3 linked regions of the Arabidopsis thaliana genome follow. The protein of the gene in region 1 binds, or shares a complex with, the protein of each later gene. Each region holds a gene or a part of one and is shown in the gene's direction. Other genes may lie near its edges. The genes, in order: EDM2, AT5G11470 and AT1G05970.

What was found.
Region 2: EDM2 (region 1) and AT5G11470 share a complex: the UniProt entries of both Arabidopsis thaliana proteins name them as parts of the ASI1-AIPP1-EDM2 (AAE) RNA regulatory complex.
Region 3: EDM2 (region 1) and AT1G05970 share a complex: the UniProt entries of both Arabidopsis thaliana proteins name them as parts of the ASI1-AIPP1-EDM2 (AAE) RNA regulatory complex.

The regions. Positions count from the first base shown.
Region 1 is NC_003076.8:22,448,485-22,456,612, reverse strand, and holds the start of EDM2 (ENHANCED DOWNY MILDEW 2), read left to right. Parts: upstream 1-1,807; 5' UTR 1,808-2,198; coding exon 2,199-2,617; intron 2,618-2,711; coding exon 2,712-2,808; intron 2,809-3,038; coding exon 3,039-3,092; intron 3,093-3,204; coding exon 3,205-3,341; intron 3,342-3,727; coding exon 3,728-3,824; intron 3,825-3,933; coding exon 3,934-4,035; intron 4,036-4,142; coding exon 4,143-4,387; intron 4,388-4,467; coding exon 4,468-4,557; intron 4,558-4,637; coding exon 4,638-5,210; intron 5,211-5,277; coding exon 5,278-5,428; intron 5,429-5,508; coding exon 5,509-5,610; intron 5,611-5,706; coding exon 5,707-5,799; intron 5,800-6,118; coding exon 6,119-6,160; intron 6,161-6,322; coding exon 6,323-6,433; intron 6,434-6,576; coding exon 6,577-6,648; intron 6,649-6,751; coding exon 6,752-6,870; intron 6,871-6,975; coding exon 6,976-7,039; intron 7,040-7,135; coding exon 7,136-8,128. Other genes in the region: AT5G55400 (Actin binding Calponin homology (CH) domain-containing protein), read left to right, coding at 1-9, 110-267, 361-457, 567-658, 746-1,078. UniProt on the Arabidopsis thaliana protein: Cellular antisilencing factor and regulator of genome DNA methylation patterns involved in the regulation of chromatin states.
Region 2 is NC_003076.8:3,662,101-3,670,021, reverse strand, and holds AT5G11470 (bromo-adjacent homology (BAH) domain-containing protein), read left to right. Parts: upstream 1-2,098; 5' UTR 2,099-2,176; intron 2,177-2,959; 5' UTR 2,960-2,980; coding exon 2,981-3,343; intron 3,344-3,826; coding exon 3,827-3,995; intron 3,996-4,097; coding exon 4,098-4,954; intron 4,955-5,241; coding exon 5,242-5,268; intron 5,269-5,628; coding exon 5,629-5,721; intron 5,722-5,906; coding exon 5,907-5,985; intron 5,986-6,076; coding exon 6,077-6,167; intron 6,168-6,296; coding exon 6,297-6,396; intron 6,397-6,498; coding exon 6,499-6,615; intron 6,616-6,749; coding exon 6,750-6,805; coding exon of another isoform or gene 6,806-6,806; exon of another isoform or gene 6,807-6,832; intron 6,833-6,904; exon of another isoform or gene 6,905-6,970; coding exon 6,971-7,022; intron 7,023-7,133; coding exon 7,134-7,265; 3' UTR 7,266-7,305; downstream 7,306-7,921. Other genes in the region: AT5G11480 (P-loop containing nucleoside triphosphate hydrolases superfamily protein), read left to right, coding at 168-330, 454-672. UniProt on the Arabidopsis thaliana protein: Collaboratively with AIPP1/EDM3 and EDM2, the AAE complex regulates alternative RNA processing (e.g. alternative splicing) and epigenetic silencing (e.g.
Region 3 is NC_003070.9:1,815,156-1,819,391, reverse strand, and holds AT1G05970 (RNA-binding (RRM/RBD/RNP motifs) family protein), read left to right. Parts: upstream 1-2,055; 5' UTR 2,056-2,164; intron 2,165-2,398; 5' UTR 2,399-2,400; coding exon 2,401-2,847; intron 2,848-2,983; coding exon 2,984-3,139; 3' UTR 3,140-3,567; downstream 3,568-4,236. Other genes in the region: AT1G05990 (EF hand calcium-binding protein family), read right to left, coding at 352-804. UniProt on the Arabidopsis thaliana protein: Prevents gene silencing by suppressing CHG methylation as well as histone H3 lysine 9 dimethylation (H3K9me2) status at target loci.

The DNA.
Region 1 (8,128 bases):
TTATCCTCGGTAATTACTCTTCTTAGCTAGCTAAAAAATGTTTATTTTGTTAAGATGCTCAACAGTCTTAGAAATTGTATAACACTAAAGGTGTGTATACATGTCTCAGGCTTCTTATGGCAGTTGATGAGAACACATATGCTCCAACTTCTCAAGAGTCTAAGATCTCGGACACGAGGAAAAGACATGACCGACTCAGAAATCATAAGCTGGGCTAACAGGAAAGTCAGAATCATGGGGCGGAAATCGCAGATCGAAAGCTTCAAGGTTCCATCTTTTACTTTTATCAAAACTCAAAAAAAAAAAGTTCAACTGAACAAGCTTATGTTGAACAAAATCTGTCTTGCTAAACTTCAATAGGATAAAAGTCTATCGAGCGGATTATTCTTCCTCGATCTTCTATGGGCGGTTGAGCCAAGAGTTGTTAACTGGAATCTTGTCACCAAGGGTGAATCAGGTCCTTACTCTCTCTAACTACACTCACAACCTCTTCACTCTCTTTCTCTTCTCTGTTCAAACTGAATTTGTTTAATCGTTATTTTTTCGCTATGGAAACTTTGTAACAGACGATGAGAAGAGATTGAATGCTACATACATTGTCAGCGTAGCAAGAAAGCTTGGTTGCTCGGTTTTCTTGTTGCCAGAAGATATCGTGGAGGTAAAGAACGGAATCAAATCTTCCGAAACAAGAAAACAACATACATCAAAATGTAAATCTGATGTTTTTAAATGTCTTTTGTTGCAGGTGAATCAAAAGATGATACTAATCCTAACGGCAAGTATAATGTATTGGAGCCTTCAACAACAATCATCATCGTCAGAGAGTTCAAGTTCGAGTTCAGACTCATCATCAACTCATAGCACGACGACGACATGCACTAGCACATGCACGAGCACTGATGCTTCACCAGCTCCATCTGTCACGGGTGAAGACGAAGTCTCTTCTTTAAATGGCGAAGTCTCAAGCCTAACGATAGAAGAAGACAATGAAGTCTCGAGCCTAACGATAGAAGAAGACAATGACGCAGACATTTTGTCAGATATCACCTCCATCTCAGAGGAAGCAGCTAACGAATAGAGCAACAAGACTGAACTATCTTTGCCGGAACAGAGTTGCTTTGTAATATTTTTTCACATCACCTCTGTTTGTGTTACTACTACTAAATAAAAACTATATTTGTTACCACAATAACAATAAAGATAAAAAGATAAAAATATTTTATGGAGTAAACATTAAAATGTCATTGTTTTTTATCTTCATAAAATAATGTCATTTAAAATTATAACTGTGCTGAAAAGGAATGATTTGCATTCGTTTTGTCGGCTAAAACACAAAAAAGAGATATTTAAGAATACCTCAAATGATTTATATTTATCGACTTATTGTTTTTGTTGTTTGGTGTTGCTTGCTCTTCTCTCTCTCTCTCTGCTGATGCCTGGCTCGAGCGTCGAACCAGTCACACGTTGCACTTTGCAGTGCCATCGCAGACCAAACGTGCTACAAGAGCCAGGCGCATGCTTTCTTGCATGACTTGTTATTTAAACGTACCTGCTTCGAATAATAGTTATCCAATAAAAACCCTAAATAGAGAAATCTATACGAAATATTAATTAAGGAGAGGGATATAATATTCTCGGTCTTATTCGTATTTTATGCTGAAGATTTGTAGAACGAAATTTAAGGGAACTAAAAAAAACGAATTATGTTAAGAATTTGTCATATTTAAAAAAAAAACAAAAACACAATCTCAGCGGCGTTGCTTGCACACGTGCGCGAGTATATAAACTTGGAAAAAAATAATGACGACGACGATTCTTACTCTTTTTTTTTCCTCAATTCTTACTCTCTTTTGATTCAATTGCGTCATAGTATAATCTCCATCAACACACAGAGACGATAATTCTCATAGGTTTTTATCACTTCTCTTCTTCTACTTCGTAATCAATTCATTCGCTTACTTCTTCAATTCCGTTTTCTCAATTTCTCAATTTTTGGATGTACCAATCTTTGAAGGACTTTAAATGTCCAGGCTATTCGTCTTCTTCATTGTCCAATTCATGTTCATTGTGTCTCCTAAAACGAAACCCTAATTCGAGTTTTGAATTTCTATTTCTTTTAGGGTTTAGGAGAAAGTTGTGTCCCGTTTGATCGTTTGTGTTTTGAAACGTCTCTAGGGTTAAGGGAATTTTGGGATTGAATGACGTTCGTTGACGATGATGAAGAGGAAGACTTCTCTGTTCCTCAATCAGCTTCCAATTATTATTTCGAAGATGATGATAAAGAGCCTGTTTCGTTTGCTCGTCTCCCAATTCAATGGAGCGTGGAGGAGAAAGTTGATGGTAGTGGTTTAGGTTTTTACTTGCGAGGAAGATCTGATAACGGCCTTTTGCCTCTGCATAAGCTTGTTAAGGCTTGGAGATACGATCTTTCGAACTTCCAGCCTGAGATTTCTGTTCTTACGAAGGATAATATATGGATTAAGCTTGAGGAACCGAGGAAAAGCTATGGGGAATTGATTAGAACTGTTTTGGTCACGTTGCATTCCATTCAGTTTCTTAGGAGGAATCCCCAAGCGTCCGAGAAAGCTCTCTGGGAGAAATTAACTAGAAGTTTGAGGTGATTGATTTGTGCTTTTCAGGTCTTTTGTTCTTCTCTCTGGGAGTTTTCATTCTTTTGGTTTTTAACTTTAGTGATTGGATGTTGTTTCTAGGTCATATGATGTGAAGCCATCGCAGAATGATTTGGTGGATCATATTGGTTTAATCGCTGAAGCTGCGAAAAGAGATAGAAATTTGGCGAATTCGAAGGTTTGTATGGAGAATTTTCAGAGTTTCTGGTCTTTGGGATTTTTGAATTAGAAGAGTCCATTAAATCTCTTATAGGTGTTGTAGCTTTTGTTTCCTGAGAGCTTGTGATGCCCATATTTGTTATCAAGAGTTTAGCTCGCTTTCTGGCCTGAATGTTTTCTGTATATGTATCATTTTCTTACCCTGATTCTCTCCTAATTTTGTGCTGTTTTTCTTTCTTGTGTTACTAGTTTATACTTGCATTTCTCACAAAAAAGCCTACCAAAAGGAGATTACCTGACGAGGTTCGAATCTTTTTTCCCACTTGAGTACTCTTTCCTAATGTGCCGTTTCCCTTTTTTTCCCTTACTTTCACACGGTCTTAGTTTCTGATACGAACTTGTTATTACTTATTAGGACAATGCAAAAGATGATTTCATAGTTGGAGATGAGGACACTTATGTAGCTTCCGATGAAGATGAATTGGATGATGAAGACGATGATTTTTTTGAGTCTGTTTGTGCAATATGTGACAATGGTGGCGAGATTTTGTGGTATGTTTCCTTGCTGGATATTGATCTTGTAGTTTGATTATCTCTGATAATTAGTCTTACACCTTTTACTTTCTTTATTAGAATAAGGCCTTGATTATTTGTGTGCGTTTATGCCAGCGTTTGCTTTTACATTTAGTGTGAATTTTCTCAAATAGTCTACAACCTTTAGCGTCTTGAACAATTTCCTTTGCTAATTTGAAACTCAAGCGTACCTTCTGTTTGCGTTTGGCATTTGCAAAAATATTTTATGAAACACTGAAAATGTTTTAATACTGTGAAACATGCAAACGCAAATTCAGCGTTTGAGGCAATTGAGGCCTTCAAAGGTTCTAAAGATACACTGTTATTATTCCAGATGCATAAGTCTTGTGTTCTGCTTTCTGCAGTTGTGAAGGAAGCTGCCTGAGATCATTTCATGCTACCAAAAAAGATGGTGAAGATTCACTTTGTGATTCTCTTGGCTTTAACAAGATGCAAGTGGAAGTATGTAACATATATGATTCTTTCATTAGTTCTGAATATGTCTGGGCGTCTTGGTTTTCTTGAGTAGGCATGGAGTCTATGTTAATGCTGTTTATGGATTGTTTTCCAGGCAATTCAGAAATACTTTTGCCCAAACTGTGAGCATAAGATACATCAATGCTTCATTTGCAAGAACCTTGGCTCTTCTGATAACTCTTCTGGAGCAGCAGAGGTATGCAATTATTGATCTCTAATGTTGAATGCTGTTCAGACATGTTTTGTTGATAATGGTGACTGACAAGTAATTGGTTGAGCTTTGTGTTTTAAACATGTTCATAGGTTTTCCAATGCGTGTCAGCCACCTGTGGCTACTTTTACCATCCTCACTGTGTCACAAGACGGCTACGTTTAGGAAATAAAGAAGAGTCTGAAGCACTAGAAAGACAAATCATTGCTGGAGAGTATACATGCCCATTGCACAAATGCAGTGTCTGTGAAAACGGAGAGGTTAAGACAGACTCTAATTTGCAATTTGCTGTTTGCCGGCGTTGTCCAAAGTCCTACCATAGAAAATGCCTACCGCGGTATACCTTCATTCATTCATCATTCATTTTCTATTGCTATTTCAGAACTCTATTTGAATAACTGTCTTGTTGGTTTCTAGGGAAATTTCTTTTGAAGATATTGAGGACGAGGATATATTAACTAGGGCATGGGACGGACTCTTGCACAACCGTGTACTCATATATTGCCAGTAAGATTCATATATGGTGTATTTTGAATTTATAATTATTTACCTTGAGACACTTATTTTGAATGAGATACCTTGCCTAGAGAACATGAGATAGATGAAGAACTTCTGACACCAGTTAGAGACCATGTTAAGTTTCCTTTCACGGAAGAGCAGAAGGTCTTCGTGAAAGAGCAAAGAAGGATACTGGAATCACATGTGGGACGAGATAAAGCAAGACTTAAGGTTAAGGATCCTGCCTTACAAGATACTTGTGGAAAAGCTTCTAAGAATTCCTTTAGAAGTTCGTTTCCTTCTTCAAAAGATGGTTTCTCCACAAAGAAGCATGGATTAGTTTCATCCGTACCAGATCATTCGAGGAAACGTAAGGATATTGATCCATCCATAAAGCATAAAATGGTTCCACAAAAATCCCAGAAGATGATGGAAGACTCCCGTGAAGCTGGCAAAAACAAGCTGGGAGTAAAAGAAGCCCGTGATGCTGGTAAAAGCAAGATTTCACTGGGTGAGAGGTTGTTTAGTTATACCCAGGAACCTAATCCAGTAAAACCTGGGCGCGTGATTCCTGTTGATAGCAAGCACAATAAGACTGACTCAATTGCCTCCAAGGAGCCAGGAAGTGAAATTCCTACATTAGACAACGACTCTCAAAGGAGGTTTGTATTTTTGTTGTTTGGGGCCTATTAGTAAATTTCTTCCATTGTAATCTACTTTTGTCAATAGGCTCTTGGCAGTGATGAAAAAAGCTACGGAAGAAATAACTATGGGTACTATTTTAAAGAAATTCAAAATTCAATCTACTATGAGTACACACTCCACAAGGAATGTTGTGGACAAGACAATCACTATGGGGAAGGTAGAGGGATCAGTCCAGGTGGGCTAAAAATCTGAACCCGATCCCTATCTGGCCTCTCTTAACCCTCTAGTTATGAATTTAAAATTTTGGTTCTTCAGGCTATCAGAACAGCACTAAAAAAGCTTGAGGAAGGAGGAAACATTGAGGATGCAAAAGCAGTTTGTGAGCCAGAGGTTCTGAGCCAAATCCTCAAGTGGAAGGTCCTAGCTTAGCTTTTTCGACATCCTTTTTATTTATCTTTGTTTGTAACTAGTAATTTTTGCTAATCCTGTAGATGTTTATTTCTTTTGCTTCAGGATAAGCTCAAAGTTTATCTTGCTCCTTTTCTCCATGGTGCACGCTATACCTCATTTGGTCGTCATTTTACTAATCCTGAAAAACTTCAACAGGTAATCTATCCTCTTAAAAGCATAAACAAGATTTAGGTCTAAGCATCCTGTATGTTACAAGGATTTTCGGTTCACACTTAGTCAATTAGTGAGAAAGAAAAAAATTCAAGGAGAGATGACTCTTAAAATGTAGGATGTTATGTCTTTCCAATTAGCTTACTTAATCTGTCTTCTGTGAGGATTATTATGCTGTTGGTTTACACTTTCTGTCACCTGCGTGACTAGTGACTATCACCTGCTGTTTACACACTCTTGTCAAATTTTAACTCCTGTATCTGAAGCTTGTACCTGACCAGACCTATTATTACTTTTTGTGCAGATTGTTGATAGGCTGCATTGGTATGCAGATGATGGTGATATGGTGAGATTTGCTCACAAACGTTATCTGTTGGGTTTAATTTTATTATTTTGTTTACCTCTCTTAAGTTTTTTTCTTATATTCTGAAGTATGATCTTGTTAGTATAATGATCAATGTCTTGTGCATAAACAATGATGTCTGGTTTCTGGGATCTCTTCCAACAGATTGTCGACTTCTGTTGTGGTTCTAATGACTTTAGCTGTCTGATGAACGCGAAGCTTGAAGAAACGGGGAAGAAGTGCTTATATAAAAATTACGATCTTTTTCCAGCGAAGGTAATGACTTGTGTGTGTGTGCCTACTATTGTCGTAAGTTGTAAAGTCTTATCACTGATACGGAAGCAACATATGTTAGATCGTGGTGTGTTCTATTCATCAGTCTTCTAGGATTACTCATTGATTAGCTATCTTACTTTCAGAATAATTTCAATTTTGAGAGAAAGGATTGGATGACTGTAAGTAAAGATGAGTTGGAACCAGGTTCAAAGCTGGTAAGACACAAATTTCCTTTAGTATGAACTTTGTGTAAGCTCCAGTGTCATTGAAATAGTTTGAGTAGTATCTGACTGTTTATATTTTTGGAATTATGAGTAGATTATGGGGCTAAATCCACCATTTGGAGTCAATGCTTCTCTTGCAAACAAGTTTATTACCAAGGCTCTTGAGTTCCGCCCAAAGATTCTCATTCTCATTGTTCCTCCCGAGACTGAAAGGTTTCAGTTTCCATCTATCTCATCTGCTCCTCTGTACCATTCCATAACACTAATATATCGACTCCTCTCTCTCTCTCTTGTTAAATCTATCACTTTTCTCAACAGGTTAGATAAAAAGAAGTCATCATATGTGCTTATATGGGAGGATAAGACGTTCCTATCTGGAAATGTAAATCTTTCGCTTTTCTTTTGATTTTGCTTTTTGAGAGATTGAGCCTTTATTGAGTTTCAGTTACATGTTATGCTTCTTGCCTATTCCTTTCAGTCATTTTACCTGCCTGGTTCTGTCAATGAAGAAGACAAGCAATTGGAAGACTGGAACCTTGTTCCTCCGCCACTTTCTCTCTGGAGTCGGTCCGACTTTGCAGCCAAGCACAAGAAAATAGCGGAGAAGCATTGCCATTTGTCTAGGGATGTGGGGAGCTCAAAGTTAAAGATAGTGGAAGAAGAAGCAAACGCATCTTTGCATCCACTTGGAGCTTCTGATGGCATGTGTGATGATATTCCTATGGAAAAGGATGAACTTGAGGTAGCTGAATGCGTTAATAAAATCTTAGTCTCTGAGAAAATCGACACAGTAGAAACTGTAGCACGTGTACATCAGTCAGATCACTTGTCACGGAGAAGTCAGCTGAAAAAGGAGGGAAAGACCAAAGACTACTCTGGTAGGAAGCTTGGGAAATCTATGGATTCTAATAATGTGGATTGGAAGAGCAATGACATGGAAGAGGATCAAGGAGAGTTGAGTAGAGCACCAGAGAGCATCAAAGTAAAAATTCCCGAAATGACATCTGATTGGCAGAGTCCTGTTAGGTCTTCCCCAGATGATATATATGCTGTCTGCACATCAATTTCCACTACAACACCTCAAAGATCTCACGAGGCTGTAGAAGCATCTCTGCCTGCAATAACAAGGACAAAAAGTAACTTGGGAAAGAATATTAGAGAACATGGTTGTAAAGTGCAGGGCACTGGAAAACCTGAAGTGAGTCGGGATAGGCCTAGCTCTGTGAGAACTTCTAGAGAGGACATCTACACTGTTCGTCCATCGCCAGAAAATACGGGTCAGAAACCGTTTGAAGCTTTTGAACCATCTTATGGTGCAAGTTTGTCCCATTTCGACGATGGTCTTGCTGCTAAGTATGGTGGTTTCGGTGGAGGCTATAGAATGCCGGATCCTCCTTTCCTACCGGATCAGTTTCCATTGAGAAATGGTCCTAACGAGATGTTTGATTTCCGAGGATATTCAGACCTTGAT
Region 2 (7,921 bases), about 19 Mb from region 1:
GATATTATTTTGTTTTTCATGCCATAGCACCTTAAAATTGCTCTGGCAAGTCTCTGTCTTTCCTAGTTTTTTGTTTGTGTCTGTTGGATACAATTACAGTTTCTGTGCCAGGGAATTTGAGGACTTTCAGTATAGAAAATGAAAGTTGATACATTTTATATATCCAGGTATGCATCAGCACCGCATGAACTCAAACAAGACTGGAACAAATTCACCAAAGACTATTTTCTAAATCGATCAACATTGGTCTCGGTGTTTTTACTAGTTGATGCCAGCATTCCTGTAAAGCCAATCGATCTCGAGTATGCAAGCTGGCTTGGTCAAAACCAGGTATAAAAAGTACCTAAACCTTGAAAACCCCACTTTAACCCATTAATTGGCAATCATGGTCAAGACTTGTACTAATTGTGTAATGTCTCTGTGAAATGAATGATTGCTATCTATATCTCTCAGGTTCCAATGACTTTGATATTCACAAAATGCGACAAGAGAAAGAAGAAGAAAAATGGAGGGAAGAAACCGGAGGCGAACATAAAGGAGTTCCAAGACTTGATCCAAGGGTTCTTTGAGACAACACCGCCATGGATTATGACCAGCAGTGTGACGAATCAAGGTCGGGACGAGATATTGTTGCATATGGCTCAGCTAAGAAACTACTGGCTCAAACACTGAGAACCAAAACAACACTTCTCCATATTATCTTTTTATAAGGAGACTTATATAACAGTTAGTGTAAAACGACAAAACTAACAGTTAGTGTACCAATTATTTGGGCACTGTCTTTGATTAATGCAACGCTGAGATTTTGTTTAATGTATTTGTGTTACAACTTGTAATGTATTCGGACTCTACTAAACTTTTGTAAAAATCAACAAACAAACGAAAAAAACAACAAAATTATTCGCAAATATAGGAAATATAGATAAAAGGTTAAGCATATAAGCATCAAGCGGGGATAGCTCAGTTGGGAGAGCGTCAGACTGAAGATCTGAAGGTCGCGTGTTCGATCCACGCTCACCGCATTTTTAAAAAACTTTTAAAAGACAGAAAAACGACGCCGTTTCTTTTTACGAGACCCTAGAAGCAGCCCATATAACAGCCTAGTATCCCTAAACCCAACTCTTCAGACCTTTTTGGTAGTGGGCCTTAATGAGACAAAAATTGTTCTGTATCCTTTACTGAAAAGTGAAAAGCATAGATAGCTTAACTTCTTGATATTGACCTCCGTTGCCAAAAGATTAATGGGTGTTCCAGAAAATTAAAACACATTCAACTATAGAGAGTATGTGATTAATATTGCATTGGTGAATGGTGAGAATCACAGTCCATTGGCTTTGTTAAAGACACCATCTTTTTAAAACGTGTGACCATTGACAGGAGTCATTAGAAGAACAATAAATTTCTCCACTCCATGATTTTGATTTTGAATTTTAAGTATCAAAACAAGTAAGAGTCTAAAATAGGGATGTAGCATTTATACCACAACTACTTTTATCAGGGATAATTCTAAACAAATTATGATATAAGCTCACTAATTCGAGTTAGAAGATATGATTAAATTTCCATGATCTTGTTTAACGGTTAGTATATATGATCAGACCGTATCTCACATATACATGTGTAAAAAAATTGGAAATTTATTATTATAGAAAAAATAAAATAAAGAAATTGTTGTATTTAGGGGGTAAAAATCTTTGCTCAAATATATTTTCTCTAAAATTACGTATTTCTTTTGTGCATAATTCAATTTCAATGTATTTTTTTTAGACCTAATCATTTTTACTTTCTGTCTTTTGTGCAACTCATTTAAAAAAGTAAGTAACAGAGAAAATCTCAGAGAAAGGGGGAATGGGAGGAGAAAAGCTTTCATGAACTTACCGTTCTCTCTGGAAACTGCAACAACAAGAACAATCTTCGACCAAAACTGAATTGCTCTATAGAGATTTTGATTTGAATTTGTTTATGATGAACTTTAGCGATAGATAAAGTGGAGAGATACTGTAGTAACCGGTAAAACGAGGGATTAGGGTTTTTTTTTCTCCCTCTGCGATAAACCTGGGCTTCGTCAATTTCTGTTCATCTTGACCTAATCGAACTCGCGTCACTCTGATTTCGCTAGGGTTCCATTTTTCCGTTCGGTGGCTTCGGAAACTGTAAACTGATTTCTTCAGTGAAGGTAAAAAAAAAGTTGAATTGTTGGTGAAAGTACTTCGTCTTCTTTGTTTCCCAGTTAATCGCTGTTTCTTACGAACGCAAAAGCTTATCTCAACCTACATTGCGTAAATGATATTATCACTTTTTTGCAATTGCGTAGTTTGGTGATCTTTTGATTTTTCTGAATCGCCTTTTTGTTTACTTGAACTCAATTATCTACTATTTTATTTAGTGTTCTTTGTTCTCACGGAGTTTCTTTCGTTGATCAACTGATTTGCTGCTTTCGGTATTTTTTGGTGGACTTGCGTGCTTTTTTAGAGAGCCTTGTCATTACTAAACGTTAGTCTGAGTACTGAATACTTAAAAGTTTCTTATGGATTGGTTATGGTGCATTATAAGAATGTATTGGATGGTTTTTGGTTATATGCACAATGCTAATGATTTCAATTGAAAGATTAATGTGTTGCCTTGTTTAACAGTGGATCTGATAGAGTTTCGGGAGTGATTTTGGTTTGATTGATTGGGAGTATATGGTGGATCATTGATTTGATCTATCTTGTGATGGTTTTTTCCTTTTATGTGTCTTCTGGTCTTAGTATTTTAAGTCCTTGAAGTGTTCTGCACCTTGTCAAGGGTACTCTCGGTTATCCTTGGAAAACGAGTTTGATCTTCTGTTGGAATTCTTGTATTCCTTTCGATTTATCAATGCAACCATTTAAATGAACGATTGTGGATATATGTTCAGTCGTCTAATCAGTTCCTCGTGCAATTCTGATCTGGATACACTATTCTGCTGTTTGTCTAGGTAGAAAATTGCTTTTAGAGAATGGAAGAATCTGTAGCATCTGAAGGCTTAGAATTTAAGTGGGGTAAAAAGAAAGGTGTTGGTGGGAAAAAGAAAGATGTCCAGTTCTATGAATCTTTCACCTATGATGGCGATGAATACCGTCTTTATGACTGTGTCTTAGTTGGCAATGCCAGTGAACCAGACTCTACTGAACCCTTCATTGGCATGATCATAAAAATTTGGGAACACGCTAATAAGCATATCCCAAAGAAAGTCAAGCTTCTCTGGTTCTTTAAACCTTCTGAGATTGCGCCATATCTTGAAGGAGTCCCGAATGTACTTGCCAATGAAGTGTTTTTAGCATCGGGTGAAGGTCTTGGCCTTGCTAATACCAACCAATTGGTAACTAATTATTCTTCTGCATACTATGTTGAATTTTCATTCTCCATAGTACTTATTGAGCATGTCATGGCATTTTCTTATTGATATGTATCTCATATTATGCTGCGTACTAAATTATATTGTCCATCCACTTTTGTTTTGTTGAATATTATATTCTTTGCGGTAGGATAACTTGTTCTCTGTTCACCAACATATGTGCTCCAAGTAGCTTTTTTGTCCTCTTTTGTAACCATGGCATAGATCTCATCCCAAAGCTCCCCAAACAGAAATACGTTGATCAATTACTTTTGTTGGTTTCTAACATTGTTACAAGCGTCTTTCTATGGTGAATCAAACATGTCCTTGTGTCTTGAGAGATTTACCTTTGCTTCACTTTTTGGTTGAAATATTCGTTTGAACTTTGTGCCATTGTGCGAATAGCTGGTGCAAGTGATTAGTTAAAATTACACCTGCTTTAATACTGATATGACATTATTTCACTAGGAAGCAATCGGTGGAAAATGCTCTGTTCTATGCATTTCAAAAGACAAAAGAAATCCACAACCCTCGGATGAAAAATTCAACTCAGCGGACTTCGTGTTTTGCCGAGCATTTGATGTTGGAAGTTGCAAAGTTGTGGATACGATTGATGATAAGATTGCTGGAGTTGACGGTACAATTTGTTTCATCTTAGTTGATAGCTTTGACATTCTACTCAATAGCTATCTTGATTCTTTATTTACATCATATCTTCTTTTCACTCTAATTCTTGCAGTTAAATTTATCTTTAACAGAGCGTGCTCTGAGAAAGAAGCAACTGCGGTGCAGAATATTGAAGCAGACGTAAATGGGAAGTCAGATAGTTTGAAACCAAATGGTCCTTTAGCTAGGGGAGCTAGTGGTTCAGTTAGGAAAATCGAAGACAGCGCTTTTGAATCTTCTGACTGTAAAGAAAACAGTAATGGTTGCAAAGAAGAGAAAGAAAAAGGTCACTACCAACTCGCTATAAAAAAATCTACACTTGCAGAAGAAAGGTCTAACAAGGATTCTGGCTCTAGGGGAAATCATTATAATGGCAAAGATCAAGAAAGTGAAGTTAAAAAACAGTTAACTAAACAAAAATCTATGCCTGGCGAAGAAAGATATAGTAACTCTTTTGAAGCTTCTGGCTCCAGGACAATTCATTCCATTTCAAAGAAAGCTCAAGAAAATGATGTTAAAAAGCAGTTGACTAAACAAAAATCTATGCCCGCTGGAGAAAGATATAGTCAAGAGTCGAGTGGATTGGATGACAGGCCTCTGAAGAAACAGAAACTTGATGGTTCTGTTACAGTACGAGATGGATGGGATACAACCATTTTGCAGAACATTACTTCTGATGGTAAAAAGGATACAGGATCTTTTAAGAGACCTAGAGACAAAGTGACTATAGAGGAAGTCCCTCCCGAAAAGCGCAGCTTTGTTAAGAACCGAGATCTTGTAGTGTCAGTATCTGAAGGAAAAACTACAAAAACTGTAACTGAAAAAGGTATATCCAAGAAGCCCAGCTTTGGACGTGCTGAGGACAAGATGTCGGCAGATGATAATGAAAGAAACTATCAAGTAACTGAAGTGTGCCGAAGGCCGGATGCTGTAAGTTTATACTTACTATATGTTTCCTGCAATATGATTTAGTTTACATTGGTTTGGAACTGGCTGTTTCATGAGATTTCAGAGCGTGTTGTAAAATCTTTAGATGCAAGGATGTGGTTTTGCAAGAACACAATTCTAAAAGGAGCAGTTTTGTTTTACAGTCCTTCACACTGTATGTTGTATAGTTGTAGTGATGTTCTGTCATTCTTCTCATCTTATTATGTTACCACAATGCTTGGTAACATTGAGGTTTATCTAACAGATTTTTGTTTCCTTATTTATTTCAGGGAAAAAGTAAATGGTTCCGGAGTCTTGTAAGTATCTTTTCCTTAACTTTTTTTTGCACCCCAGTTCTGTAAATGTCGTTTTTGGTTGCCTCCATTTTCGTGTTTGACATGCTTGTTTTATGATGTTAGTAGAGTGACCTGTTAATATTGTTAACGTCTCGTTCATATGCTATTCAGAAAGTAGTGTATTTTCTTGATCGTTTCTATGTTCGAGAGACTCAGTTGTTTACTTTTGAATCTGCAGTCAAATTGTTTACTTTCTCTATCCGCACCTATTTTTTGTTTGGCTGGCGTAGTCTCTTCTAGCTAGCCTGAATTGTTATCAGATTCTGTACGTCGTATCAGAAATTATGGACTGACTTTTTAATTTGTCTAAATTATGTCCAGCCTTGGGAAGAAAGTATGAGGGAAGCAGAAAAAAAAGGGACTGTGGTACTTCTTCAAAACTTGGATCCTACTTATACATCTGATGAAGTGGAGGTATTACAGTTTATTTAGGAGTCTCTTTTTTTTTCAACAACATTTAGGAGTCTCTTAAAATGTATATTGTATATGCTTACTCAATGTAACCTAATGTAATGCAGTTGTTTCCTGATTTACTTCATGGAAACCTCCCTTCTTTTCTCTTTTTATGCAACCTAAGAAATTTATGAATTGTATTTCAGGATATAGTCTATTCTGCTTTGAACCAGCAATGCGAAGCGAGGATGATAGAGCGTACATCAGTCACTATTCCTCATATTGGTAAGCTACCATTTTACTCACCGGGTTCTAATTTATGATTCTCACATACTATAAATGGAATGAAGAGCACCTCATATTGTTTGATATACAGGTGAAGCTTTGGTCATTTTCAAAACAAGAGAAGTTGCAGAAAGGGTGATTAGAAGACTAGATGAGGGATGCTTGTTGCTATCAAGTGGGAGGTGAACCTGAAATGACATATTCTTCTTTTTTCTCTAAGCTTCCTATGATAAATTGCAGAGATGTACAGTGCCATTTTTTTGGCATACTTTCATCTCAGAAATCTCTGCTGTGCCTTTTTTGCTCAACAGGCCCCTTGTTGCTTCTTTCGCTAAGATTACTCCACCAGGGAAGCCGTCATTATTCTCAGGCCATATCAAACTACACAAAACTCAAACGCGACGGGAGATGGTATTGTTTTCATTTCCCTTTCCCTTGCATAATGCACACAAATAAAAATGCATTGTTACGTTACTAATCTTCTTGCTCTTTGGTCTTTATATGTTTTTCCAGAGAGATGCCGTGGCTACATCACATTCTTCTCAGCCTAACAACCTTGAATTTGACATGGCCATGGAATGGTGTTTGCACCAAGCCAGACACGAGCAGGCGTCTGAAAGTGTATCTAAGGTAATTAGATTGTCTAGACGATTATTGCCACTATTTTACTGAAAACATGAGTTTCTGTTTGGAACTGTTTGGAAAAATGAGAAAAAAGTGTGCTTCAATTCCTTAAGAATAACTGAATCCTTAAACCCTTATAGCGGCAATTGGAGGAGATGAAGTCGCTGCGGATTAACTTCAAGCTGAAACTTCCTTAGTTTCAGAATCATCTTGTCACTCTCGTGTAAGTATTAGCTCTTATCTACATGTCTATCATCTAAACGAACCAAATGATCACTTACTTTCTTTGCTTCAGACAGAAATATCACCAACTGTAGATTAGAAGGAAAAACACAAGGTCTCTTTTAGCCTCTAAAGACAGTGAGACTCAAGAATTTTGGTTTCATGCCATCCAGTCCCCCAACTTTGACTCGGTAAACACCTGGTTTCTTTATGATATTTTTGCTTGATGTCATACAAATCAAAATATACAAGAAAAGGTGAATAATTTGCACTTGTGCTGTTTCTTTCTTGCTTGTGTTTAGGAGGAATATACTGATGCGGCTTCTGGTCTCAAATCGGACGACCCTTTTGTAGTTACATATTTTTTTGTAAGGGTCAGTTTCACTAGTGAAGTGCTAAACTTTTGTGTGGATCAGGAAAGGTCAAGAGAGTAATTGTGACCTTTTAGGGGTTTAAAAAAGTTCCTTATGATGCACCTTTTAGCCTAACTAGTTGTTTCACCACTTAAGCCCGTCTCTTGTCATCTGAAAAAGAGTTTCAACTCATTCCATATCCACTTGAATATGATGGGCAAGTAGGCCTCGCTCGCCAAAGAATAAAATAGTGGGGTCTTACTAGCTCCCTAAGTGGGCCTCGCCAAAGAATAAAATAAATTTTACTTCATTTCACTAATTAGCGTATCATGCAATTTTAATAGTAGTAGCCTCTGGTTGATGCTTCTGTGGTGAAAAAAGGTAATCACCGACAACACATCTTTTGAAGAAGGTACATTCTCCACGACATTTCGTTCTCCTGCCTCCTATATTTCCAGCAACCAGAAAGGTGTAATCACTAATAATCAGCCTTAATTACATAATCGATCCAAAAACGAAAAGGTTATATTGAAAATAATTATGGCTTATCAGACACACCTACACACTATTATGCACCAAATCTTCTGAAAAATCTCGCCTAGTCTACTGTTTAAAAATACTCCGTATTATTTAATTTGCGTTGTTATAAAATACAGCAAAAGGAATTTTTCGGTAGGCGTATAAAAATTTTAATTAAAAAAAAAAAAACAGAATGCACAGCCAGCACAGGTAGTGAG
Region 3 (4,236 bases), on another chromosome or scaffold:
CGGATACAAAAATCTAATTTTGTCAAACGGATATTGCCAACCATCTTTATTTTGTCTAATTGATTCAGTATTTATAAACGAGATTCCTCCTAATAGAGCTACATCAGTTACAATTAGCTAGCCTAGTTGCCAATGATCTCAATTATTGGCACAGGTGGATTCTCATTACATTATAAATCAAACGCATTTATAAAACACAAACTAAAATATTCACTAGGAAAACAGAACAAGAATGCAGTAAACTAGGATCATTTTTCTTTTGTGTCTTTCATTCCTAAGACAATATAATTAATTAAATCAAGGATCCCAAAACACAAAAATGCCAGAAAAAAATAAAACCATATTAATTAGCTACAAAGAATTAAAACCACCGCCTTTCATCATTTGTCTAAACTCTTTGTAGTTAACCCTACCATCACCATCAACATCCACTTTCTTTATCATCTTCTTACAATCGTCCAAGGTCTTACCTTGTTTGAGCCCCAAGGAAGACAAAACCGCCTTCAATTCATCCACCGTTATAAACCCATCTCCATTCTGATCAAACACATTGAAAGCTTCTTTCATGTCCTCTTCTTCTTCGTCTTCCTCGTCCATTATCGTCTTGTATAGCTCACCAAACTCGTCTATGTCCACGCACCCATCACCATTCACGTCGATCTTCTCGATCATTTGAGTCAACTCCTTGTCCGGGATGTAAATCCCTAGGCTTCGTAGTGTCTCGCTCAGCTCTTTCCCCGTGATCGTCCCGTCCCCGTTCTTGTCGAACATTTGGAACACGCGTTTTAGCTCTGTCGGATCCATCTCTTTTAAAGTTGTAGTGTTGCGTGTGGAGGAAGAAAAGATAATGGTGAGGGCTCCACGAGGCCGAGAAAATCTTTTACCCTTTCCTGGCTTCTTGGATAAGGGCAGGAATTCAAAAATCTAGGAGGAAGTTACAAGAGATGCAACAAAGAGACATTCATTAGCCAAAAATAGGAAGGAAGAAGGAGATAAAAAGATATGCCTTTGGTTGATATTGTTAATCGGTAGAGATGGACATGTTGAGGGTTTTAAAAGGATGCAACTCTATGAGTTTATGGAATTAATTATTTTCTTAAAATTTGTTATATATATAGTGGGAATTTAATTAATACTTTGTTTTCACCAAACAAAAAAGTAAGAATTAAGAAACAGTAGTACTAGGGGGAAAGTTGAGTCAACATTCAAATAATATATAATCTGATAGATTTGTGTATCCTTTTGAAGGTAGATAACAAAATTCTTGTAAAATAATTACATTCTTGAATCTGAGCGAATTAATATTTAGTATAAACAACTGCGACAAATACCCTGGAATTTACATTCTTGAATTAACATTAGTATACGCAAAATATATGTTTCGTTTTAAATTATTGTTAGCGTAATTAATTCCCAGTTACAATTAATCAAGAACAGTTTTAGTGACGTTTAGCTCCAAACATTTATCCCAGTTAAATAAGACATATTTTGCTGTTAAAAAACTAGATAGTAAATGGTAGGCAGGTACTCCCCACCTCGAGGATATTGGTTGCACGTTTAGCTCCAAACATTTATCAGTTTAAACAATTGCATTAGCTAAATAACAGTTTATTATTGATCAAATCAGAATTTGATTTAATATTTGATTCTTAAAAGAAAAACAGCTAAAAACTCTAATGAAGTGGTGAACCACTATTATGATTTATGGCCAATGAAAGTATCCTAAAAAGATTTTGTTTTATAAAAACTACAAAGAGATCCAAAATTGATACATTACAATGAGTCGCATCGCTTTCACTAAATCTCTTTATTTAATACTTACAAAAAAAAAAATATCTTATTTAATTTCAACTACATGTTTTTTATAATTTACAGGGAAAGGAAAAAAATAAAATTGCATAAGGTTGAAAAATAAAAAAGTGCCCACACGCAGGATCGAACTACGGACCTTCAGTTTACAAGACTGACGCTCTACCACTGAGCTATACGGGCCATTGATAATGGAATCCAATAACAAATATATAAATCTATAAAAGTCGTCATTTATCCTCCTAACTTACTTCTTCTTCCTTATTTCGTCTCCCCCCATAGACGACGCCTTTGACACGAGTTTAACAGTTACTTCCAGAGACGACGCCTTTAACACGAATTCTCTCCAGTTCAGGTAATTCTTTGATCTCTATCCTTCTATTCATCAATGCCCCATCGATTTCGCTACTATCTCTTCATTCCCATTTCTCTGAGAAACCCTAGATTTTCGCCCCGATTTCTTTTTTGTTTTTCCAGAAAATTCGTTGCATATATTTAAGACGGAAATTGTAACTCTGTTGAATCAATTTGGGGTTTGTTCTATTTGAACTTAAATTCGTTTATCGTTTTCTCTTCTTAATTTGGTTAGTGATGGCGACTCCGGAAGAAGTAGCGTATGAGAAGTTCCTAGAGAGAGTTCGTCGTACTGTCTACGTAGACGAACTCACGCCTCTTGCCACAGCTCCTGTTATTTCATCTGCTTTCAATCAGTTTGGGACTGTCAAGAAAGTCAGCTTCATACCTAACTACTTGGGTCCAAAGGAGCTTCCTATGGGTGTTCTTGTTGAGATGGAGAATGAAGAGATGACACAGGCTGTTATCTCTACTGTCTCACAGTTACCTTTCATGGTTGCTGGTATGCCAAGGCCTGTGAGAGCTTGTGCTGCTGAGCCTAATATGTTTGTTGATAAACCGAAGAAGCCTGGTAGAACGGTCCGTTTTCGCTGGATTAAGCCTAACGATCCTGATTTCGACAAGGCCAGGAGAGTCAAGCGGCTTGCTCGTAAGCATAGTGCTGAAAATTCGTTCATGCTCAAGGTGCTTATATTTTTTGTTTTTTGTTTTCGTTTGTTTGTTGTCTCTTCCTGTGGTATTGGATCTGATTGGCGGTGATAGTGTTAATGAAGACTTGTGTGCTATTGTGTGAATGTGTTTTCTTGTCTTCTGTTGTCAGAAACAGCTTGAGGAGGCAGAGAAGCTGTCGAAACAGCAAGCTGAGACGGCGGTAACACATCACAAGAAGTTTGAGATGATGGATAAACTCCTCTACGATGGTGTTGCTCAGAAACTGGCTGGCCGTTACGACCTGAAAGGTTTTCCTTATCGGTAGAGAGAGACTGCATATGGTATTTTGCTTAGAACTTCCTTATGTCACTAGTTTGTGCAGTGTCTATTTTGGTTGAGCTGACTTTGCTGTAGGCGCTCTGACTTTAACTCGTAATGAAGAATGTTCCACATTCTCATTTATGTGAAACAAGTAGAAGCGTGTAAATGAGATAATCAAAGTCCCTGCTTTAGTTTACCTTGACCTCTCCTCTTAATGCCTAATTCTCAAGCAAAACAAGATTTAAGCTTTAGAGACACATATTCTGCTCTCTCTGATATTTCAGATTTTTGGCGTTTGGTTTTCTACATTCCCGGTTCTTAAGTCTTGTGAGTAGTGTATGACATTTGAGATGAGATAGCTTGATTTCTATGTTGGATCAGACATTTGAATTGTATTACTATTAACCAAACTAAAAATTGTGTAAAGCGAATATAATAATTTTCGGTTTAGTCATGAACCACCAAACCAATTCTGAAGGGAATTAAAAACCAAGAAAAATTAAGAAAAGATCAAAAGAACAATTGTCAAGAATCATAGAGGACTAGTCAATGGATCCATTCAGCAGAAAACAACCTTCAAAAATTCGGACCGTATATAGCCCGCATCACATAAGCACTAGTGGATCCATTACAAGATATTTGAAGGGTATATTGGTAATTTAAAGAGGAATTCGGACTGACACTTTCCGACATTAATGGCGGAAAGAAGAGAGAGAGAGAGCTTTTTTAATAATGAAATGGAGAGATTAAATAAAATAATGATAAAAAGACGAGAGAAGAGCAATGCCACCTCTGAGCGGGCAAGCGGGATTAGATTTGCCTTCTTCTCCCCAAGCTGCCTCTCTGGCTTTTCCCCATCTTCCTGGTAAAATTCTCTCCTTCTTCAATCTCTATCTCTCTCTTTTTTCCTGGTTAATTCCAATTTGGATTTGTAATTTCTCTGAATTTGATTCCTTTATTTCCTTTCCGGGATCGAAAATTCTAAATTTCCCTTTTTTTGTTCTGGGTTTTCAGGGTTCTCCGGATTGCGATCTTGGTAACTAGATATTGAATTTAGGGTGCCAATCAAATCGCAGCTGCTAGGTTTTCTTTGATTCCTCT